2 linked regions of the Rattus norvegicus genome follow. The protein of the gene in region 2 interacts with the protein of the main gene of each other region in a pairwise test. Links are inferred from orthologs where the notes say so. Each region holds a gene or a part of one and is shown on either strand. Other genes may lie near its edges.

Region 1 (3,747 bases), on a different chromosome or scaffold from region 2:
AGATTTATTTAGCCGTCTTCAGGCACACCAGAAGAGGGCATCAGATCTCATTACAGATGGTTGTGAGCCACCATGTGGTTGTTGGGAATTGAACTCAGGACCTCTGGAAGAGCAGTCAGTGCTCTTAACCACCGAGCCATCTCTCCAGCTCCCTCAATTTAAGTTCTTAAAATTCTCCCAATTTTTCCTTTAAATTTCTAAATTTTGGATGGTTCTAAATTGGCAGGAGTCGGTCTCGAACCGGAGTCATGGGCTTTGGGGTGTTCCAGATATGGTCTCATAACAGCCCAGGCAGGTCTCTTAACTACTCACTATATAGCAGAGGCTGGTCTCCTGGTCTTTCCAAACGCTGGAATTACAGGCTACGTAAATCTAAATAAATACATCAAATATATGAGAAGGGTCTCTTGGTCTTTCCAGATGCTAGAATCACAGGCTGTATAAATCTAAATAATTCAGTAAATAAATAAAATCAAATACATGAGACGGGTCTCCTGGTCTTTCCAAACGCTGGCATTACAGGATGTGTACATCTAAATAAGTAAAATAAATGAGAAACTTTCCTGAAATGGAATGACCTACCTGCAGAGAGAGAGAGAGAGAGAGAGAGAGAGAGAGAGTGTGTTTCCCTTCCAGTCATGGGTATCGAACCCAGGGCCTTGCAAACGCAGGTCTCAGCCTCAAAGTGGCCATTCCTGACGTCCACCTCTGACCTTGTGCATCGGACTCCCTAGTGGGTCCCTGGAACCTCCTCCTACACCTTCCACGGTGGTTCTTCTGGTGAGGACATTTAGAAGCTGCTAGGAGCGTCCGGCGGGAGGGAGAGCCTGGGCTTTGAGACCGGGTTAATGTTTGCCTGGGTGGGGAGGGGGACAGGTTTCATCAGCGTCCCGAGATAAGCCACGCGTCCTTGAGCGGATGGGAACGCAACAGCTTTCTGGACAGGGCCAGTCTGCTCTTGCAAATCTTTCTTGGAAATCGCCGGCTCCGGTGAGCAGGTGGCTCGGAGCTCAAAGACCGCTTGGCTCTCTTTCCCCCCCCCGACGCCGTCCCAGTGGTTTTCCGCCACGGCGCCGGGCATTCGCCGGTCCGACCACAGAGAGGCGCGCGCGGCCTACGCTGCGGTCCGCCCCCACCCTCGGCGCCCCCCGGGAGCAGAGTCTCCCCTAGAGTTCCTGCCTCAGCTCCCGGAGCCGTGTCTCTCTTCTCGCGAGATCTTCCCGTCCCGCGCGCTCTTCTCGAGCACCCCCGCCCCACGGGCAGGTTCCATATTGGGTAAGATCTCGGCTCGCGGAGCTGTTCTCGCGAGAGTCCTGCTAGAGCCTCCCCGGCCGCTGCCTGCGGGGAGAGGGGGGAGATCGCGGCCACTGGAGCCCGAGCGGGCGCTAGAGCGCGAGCGGCTGTCGCGCAGCGTCGGCGTGCGCTCCCCAGGGAGCGGCTGCAAGGGGACCGCGGCGGGAGCTGCGTCGAACCGTGCAGCCGGCTCCCGCTCGTTGCCGAGGCTCGTAGGTGCCGCCGCGGCTGACAGGAGCCGTGGGTCGCAGCCTCCACACCTGCGCGGGCGCGGGGTCGGGTCTGCCGCGGGCGAGCGAGAGGGCGCAGAGGAGAGCGTGCGGCTGCAGGCAGGGGCCCTCGCTCGGCCACCTCGTCGCCGCGCTGCCGCCGCTGGAAGATGTCGCAGGAGAGGCCCACGTTCTACCGGCAGGAGCTGAACAAGACCGTCTGGGAGGTGCCCGAGCGATACCAGAACCTGTCCCCGGTGGGCTCGGGAGCCTACGGCTCGGTGTGGTGAGTGTCGCCGGGCTTGGGGTTGGGGGCGGGGGTGGGAGGGAACGTGGTGGAGCAAGCAGGGTGGCCCTGCATGCCTGAGCGCCAGGCCTGTCCCCACAGCTCAGCGATGCGCCCAGCGGCAGGAATTCTCCTGCGGGCGTGTCTTGGGGGTGCAGGGGGCAGTTGGAGCGGGACGTGTCCTGCACCCCTCGCCCTGCACACTCAGGTGGGTGGGGAACCGTGTGCGGGATCGGGTCAGCCGTGGGCGCGGTGTGATGGGGCTCCACCCTGTGCTCTCCATGCTCGCAAGATCGTTCCTCCCGGGGGTCCCTCTGCAGCCGTGCGGCCTCTGGACCCTGCCTCCGGGTACCGCCACTTGGCACGCAGGAGCCCTGCCCCGGGGAGCGGGCGAGCTGGGCGCAGCTCCGGCGAGGAGCAGTAGGTCAAAGCCTGACCCGGGGACTGCGGTCACCTGAACGAAACTTGCAAGAAAAAGCGCTCCCTTTCCCGGAATTTTTTTTTCTCTTTCTCAGTTTTTCCCTCCCATTTAACCATTTTTGCAAGCTTCGGTCGAAAAACCCAGAATCGGGAAACGTTCTTTTGGGATTCGCACCTGAATTAGCAGCACCCCGAAGGGCTTAAAATAATACCGACTTTATCTCGGGGACCGCGGGGTGCCAGCTTGCCGTGGTGTGTTTCCGATTCGGTTGAAAGCGTATTTCCTTTTCGGGGAGGGAGGGTGGCAGTGCCTGCAAGGACGCTCCAGCTCTCAGCTTAGTCACACAGCGCTGCTCAGTTCAGTATTGTTTGACAAAACCAGTTTTCCATACGGAGCCAGAGTGGTTCTGATCTGTTGGGCGCCCCTCAAAGATCAAAAAGGTGGGACCGAGTGCTGGAGTTGTAAATGGTTTTTAATTGGGATGCTTTTCTTTCTTTAAGCCCCTTAGAAGATTTGCAGGGGGCTTTAAGCTTGTAAGCACCGAGGCACATGGGGGTTTTTCGGGAGAACCTGGCCGCAGAAAACGATGCCTTTCAGCTTTCATTAACACTTCGGCTTTTTGTTTGAGTTCGTTTGAGACAGAGTCTCACTATGGATGGCCCTGTCTGGCCTGAGCCTCAGTGGCTAGACCAAAGCCTGGCCTGGAACTCAACAAATTTTGTCTCCTGCCAGCGCTGAGAATAAAGGCATTTGCTACCACACAAGGCCCTGGGAGCAGGTTTCAGATTAAATTTATACAGTCAAAGGTCCACTCCAGAAATGTCAGGGACTTTCAAGGATTCATATAGTCTCATTTATTGGGACTCAGTGTCAGTTTAGACCTCCCTATCTGAAAGTAAAGACCAGACTCAACAGACTAGACTCTTCTGCGTTTTAGTGATTTATATTCACGTTTCCCTGAAAGAGCCTGTGAAATGTTTTTTTTCCCCCCCTTTGGAACAAATTCTAGGCTTCTGGATGTGTTAATCTTTAAGTATGAATCCTGTGTTACTTAAAGTCACATCGTGAATTTCCTGTTTGGTAGAATCTTCCTGGTAATTGCGATTGTGCAACCATGTCCGGCAACAGATCATATTGCGTTTGCTCGTTGGAGCTGCCTAGGCTGTGCTGCTGATAGCACCAGCCCTGACCTCTTTCCCCCAAGTTTACAGACTGGCAGTTTGCATTTTAAAGGGGATGTCAATAATTTACATCCCGTGTTTGTGATTGGTTTGTTTCTCTAGTACTCACCAGCTCCCTCAGTATCTCCAGTCTTCATTGCTCACTGTTACAGCATCAGGCTTTTGTCCCCATTTGGATGCTTGGGAAGGATGGAGCAGAACTCAGGGCTTCTGGGAGAGGGAACTTGCAGGGTTTCCTAGGGCCACTGCTGCCCTGGCAGAAGAGCCAGCTTTACAGTGACTTGCCACAGTGAAACCAACACCACTTCCTCTAGTGCTGTTACTTTCTTGCAATGGGATTGAGCACAGCCTCCCAAT
Region 2 (3,747 bases):
TGTGTGTGTGTGAGGGGGGAGTACAGACAGGGTTTGGAGATGCTGTAGCCTATGCTGGCTGCAGCTCTCTAGCCCAAGCTGGCCTTCAACACACAGAGACCCTTTGACCTGAGTGTCCCAAGTACTGGAATTACATCTGTGTCAAAGTAAATCTGCCTACATTTGTTAATTTTAAAGCATGTAAATGGAGGAGTTTGGGGAAATAGTTCAGTCCAAGTACCTGCCACATGACCATGAATAACAGAGTTTAATCTCCAGAATACATAGAAGAAAACTAGACAGGGTGGCACAAGCAGGGATCTGTGACGGGGAAATACACCTCAGGAGCCAACCTGGCCTACTCAGCCAGCTCTAGACCTGTCTCAAAATAAAAGGTGGACAGAGCCAGAGGAAGGGCACTGACATTATCATTTCTTTACAAACTTATAGACCCACATGTATAGAACAAGCATACTCAAAACAGATGTAAGAGGAAACTTAAAATATGAGAAGTCCTCCCCAAGTATCTGTACTTATATCAACCTCCTAGCCAAAGACTCAGGGAAAAAAAAAAAAAAAAAGACAAAGCAGAATTAACTTGTAATACATGGAGGAGCTGTGTAATTCGAGTCAGATTATTTTCTAGGGAATATTTTGACATCGTTACTAAGTTATCTGTGTGTTTCTATCCACTATTGTTTTTATGGAGCTAAAGGAAGAGAAGAGTATAAGATACACATTTTAACATGCTAATTTCACAGCTTACCATTGTGGCATAAGATAAGGACCCAGAAAGAAGACAAAACTTTAGACGTGCTGTGGAAGTGGGGTGGAAATCATGTCTTCTTAAATCCTGCAGAAAACAAACAAATAGGAACTGCTAGCATTGCAACTGCAAAACGCGTCATTATCGGGAAAGCACTCAAGGCATATACATTCTAGCTTACCTTTAAAACAACCTTCTACAAGACAGTGTATTAGAGCCACCTACACACAGATGAAAACCAGCTCTTACAGAGCAGGCCAAAACCGTCTGAGAATTCCAATCATTACCTCCCATGGCCCAAAAGTGACACAACACTGAGAAAAACTGGCTTCTAAAACGTGTTTTCTAGCATCAATATGGGACTGTCTTCCCTGCAGATTCTACAACCTGCCCACCAGCTTTGACAGCTATGTAGGGCCACTTTGAAATTCAGTTTTTAGTCACACTGATGGCAAAACCAGAAACCCTCTATTCCCCCTCAAGCGTCCCAGGCTACGCTTCCCAGATTGTTCTAGTCCTTTTCCTCAAGAAAAGGAGAAACATCTTTAAAAAAACCTTTTCTATAATGCAGGGGTTCTCATCCTGGCTTAAAAACCAAGTAACCTACCCAGCTTTAAGTTGAATGCCCATGTCCCATTCTCTGGGTTCTGGTCAAAGTCTAGAATAGAATAGGGGTCCAGAAATAAGGAAACACCACAGTGGAAGGCCACTGTTCTAACCCTTTCCGCCTACCAGAGATGATACACTCTGCTCTGAAGACACTAAAAGTTCTATTACTACAGCTTTCACCTATCAATTTGCACTCACTACCACAGAAACTACACAACTCCAGTAAGGTACAAATTCTGGTGACAGAAAACCAGATTTCCTATGCAAAACTCTTTCAAAGGGAAGGACCCCCCCAAAGCTTAAGCCAGTACAGGCTAAAAAATATTCCCTGGTAGTATTAGTTTTTTAAAAGCCAAAATGTATCTTTTTAAGAATGACATTATTTCTGTCTTTGAATTACTAGAGGAAGTATAAGCAGAATTTAGGTGAATTTTTTTTGACCATTAAACATAAATAACAAGACTTACAAATCTAATGTAGTAACTCAAATTACAGTTACTTTTTACGAAATTAGAAGGGAGGGGTATTTTAAACTATTTCATTGCGCAAAAGAACGAACACACGTGTTATCTCTTATATTGTTTGTATATGTAATTGATGAGAACTGAGAACCCATGTGAAACTATTATACATCATCGACATCTCTATTTTACCGAGAACTCAATGCAAGCGACTCACCCAGTATCACAGTCCTATTTAGGCATTTGTCCCATCGCAATTTGTAACCTTTAGTTCTATTATTCTAACCTTCAGCCTAATCAAACCCGCATCCATGGTTCCTCTTTTTCTTTCCTTAAGCAAAGCATTACGAACTGACTTGAAGAGGGCACTCACGTATTTTTTTCCTAATTTTAATGTTAAGTTTATATCAATCATAGTACTCTGTACTCAATCTCTAAGTCTGTTCATACTGCTTTTGCACTTGGGCGTCTTAACTACGGACTCGGATGGCGATAAAAGATGGCTCCCAGGGTAGACATCAGCTACTCTGATTTCTCTGATGAACTTGGGTCTCAATTGCAGACTTTTTTTTTTTTAACCCAGGCTTTACCCTCAGAACGCCAACTCCACAGAGAAGTAACCGGCTTTATTCAATAGTCACACAGGACTCCGGCCTGAAGAAGCATTCTGCCAACCCCGCAGGGAGTTTCCAGAAATACCTGTAACGGAGCCCAAAGGACAAGTTATTACTAAAAGTGCAGGCGAACCGGGCCACGAAGTGCTGAGGGTCGTTCGCGCAGAATGGCCGCCGATGGGGCCCGCCCAAGACCCGGAACTTGGGAGAAGCAGATCGACCTCTACTCGTCTCTTCAGATCCGGGCCGCCCCAGGACACTTGACCTACAACCCCTAGCCGGCCCGCCCACCCACCAAAGTCACCTACCACCTTCAGTCTGAGAACTCAACTAAGGGCTGCTGTAACGCCCACCCACACCTCCAACCGCCACTTCCGGCCGCTGCTCTTCCGATTGGCGCGTTGCTAGTGGAAGGGGCGGGTGTTGAGGCCGTGCAAGGCCCGACACAACGCTCACTTACAGCTCCAACAGGGAGTTCCGGCCGCCGCAGTTCTGATTGGCGGACTGGGCGGGACCGTGGGCGGGGTTAGAGGTGGGGCGGTGATTGGACGTTTTGAAAGGGGATAGTGGCTTAACTGGAGGGGCGGGCGACACCCGCTTTCCAGGGTCTTAGAGTAGCTTCAGGAGCAGGCACAACGCTGGAGCAAGTTGTCCGGCCGGTTTGCGCGGCTTGGGAGAGCATGGGTTTTAATTTTCGGGAGCAGGAAAAAGTTGAACTTCCAAAGTTTGTGAGACATCTTTACCAAAGTTAATGAGTTCAGAACTTGGAGCTTGCTTGTGGTACGTCAGGTGCCAGCGAATTCCTTAAGTCCTTTTACACCTATTTGTTTCGTGCATATATGTATGCAGTGCATTTGGGGGTCACAGGACAACTTGTGGGAGTCGGTTCTCTCCTTCACGATCCTGGGGTTCAGACTCAAATAGTCAGGGTTGATGGCAAGCGCCCCTTATCTGGTAATCTGTCTCCCAACACCGTTTCAATTTTATTTTAACCACCCCAGTGATGAGTTCTTAAAAATCTAGAAAAGGCATGATCGGACCACAATTAAGTGTTTGGTGGTTGTACTGGCTGGTTTTATGTGTCAACTTGACACAAGCTGGAGTTATCACAGAGAAAGGAGCCTCAGTTGAGGAAATGCCTTCATGAGACCCAGCTGTAAAGCATTTTCTCAATTAGTGATCAACGTGGGAGGACCCAGCCCATTGAGGGTGGTTCCATCCCTGGGCTGGTGATCTTGGGTTCTATAAGAGAGCAAGCTGAGCCAGCCACGGGAAGCAAGCCAGTAAGAAGCATCCCTCTGTGGCCTCTGCATCAGCT

Evidence for each region.
Region 1: the proteins of Supt20h (region 2) and Mapk14 interact in binary tests that used the Homo sapiens proteins (3 or more experiments, as listed by UniProt). The link is inferred for Rattus norvegicus from reciprocal best matches to the Homo sapiens genes SUPT20H and MAPK14.

What each region holds. Positions count from the first base shown.
Region 1 is NC_086038.1:6,750,007-6,753,753, forward strand, and holds the start of Mapk14 (mitogen-activated protein kinase 14), read left to right. Parts: upstream 1-1,352; 5' UTR 1,353-1,672; coding exon 1,673-1,788; intron 1,789-3,747. UniProt on the Homo sapiens protein: Serine/threonine kinase which acts as an essential component of the MAP kinase signal transduction pathway.
Region 2 is NC_086020.1:141,046,627-141,050,373, reverse strand, and holds the start of Supt20h (transcription factor SPT20 homolog), read right to left. Parts: upstream 2,812-3,747; 5' UTR 2,738-2,811; exon of another isoform or gene 2,515-2,737; 5' UTR 2,406-2,514; intron 1,404-2,405; exon of another isoform or gene 1,353-1,403; intron 833-1,352; 5' UTR 757-832; coding exon of another isoform or gene 749-756; coding exon 746-748; intron 1-745. UniProt on the Homo sapiens protein: Required for MAP kinase p38 (MAPK11, MAPK12, MAPK13 and/or MAPK14) activation during gastrulation.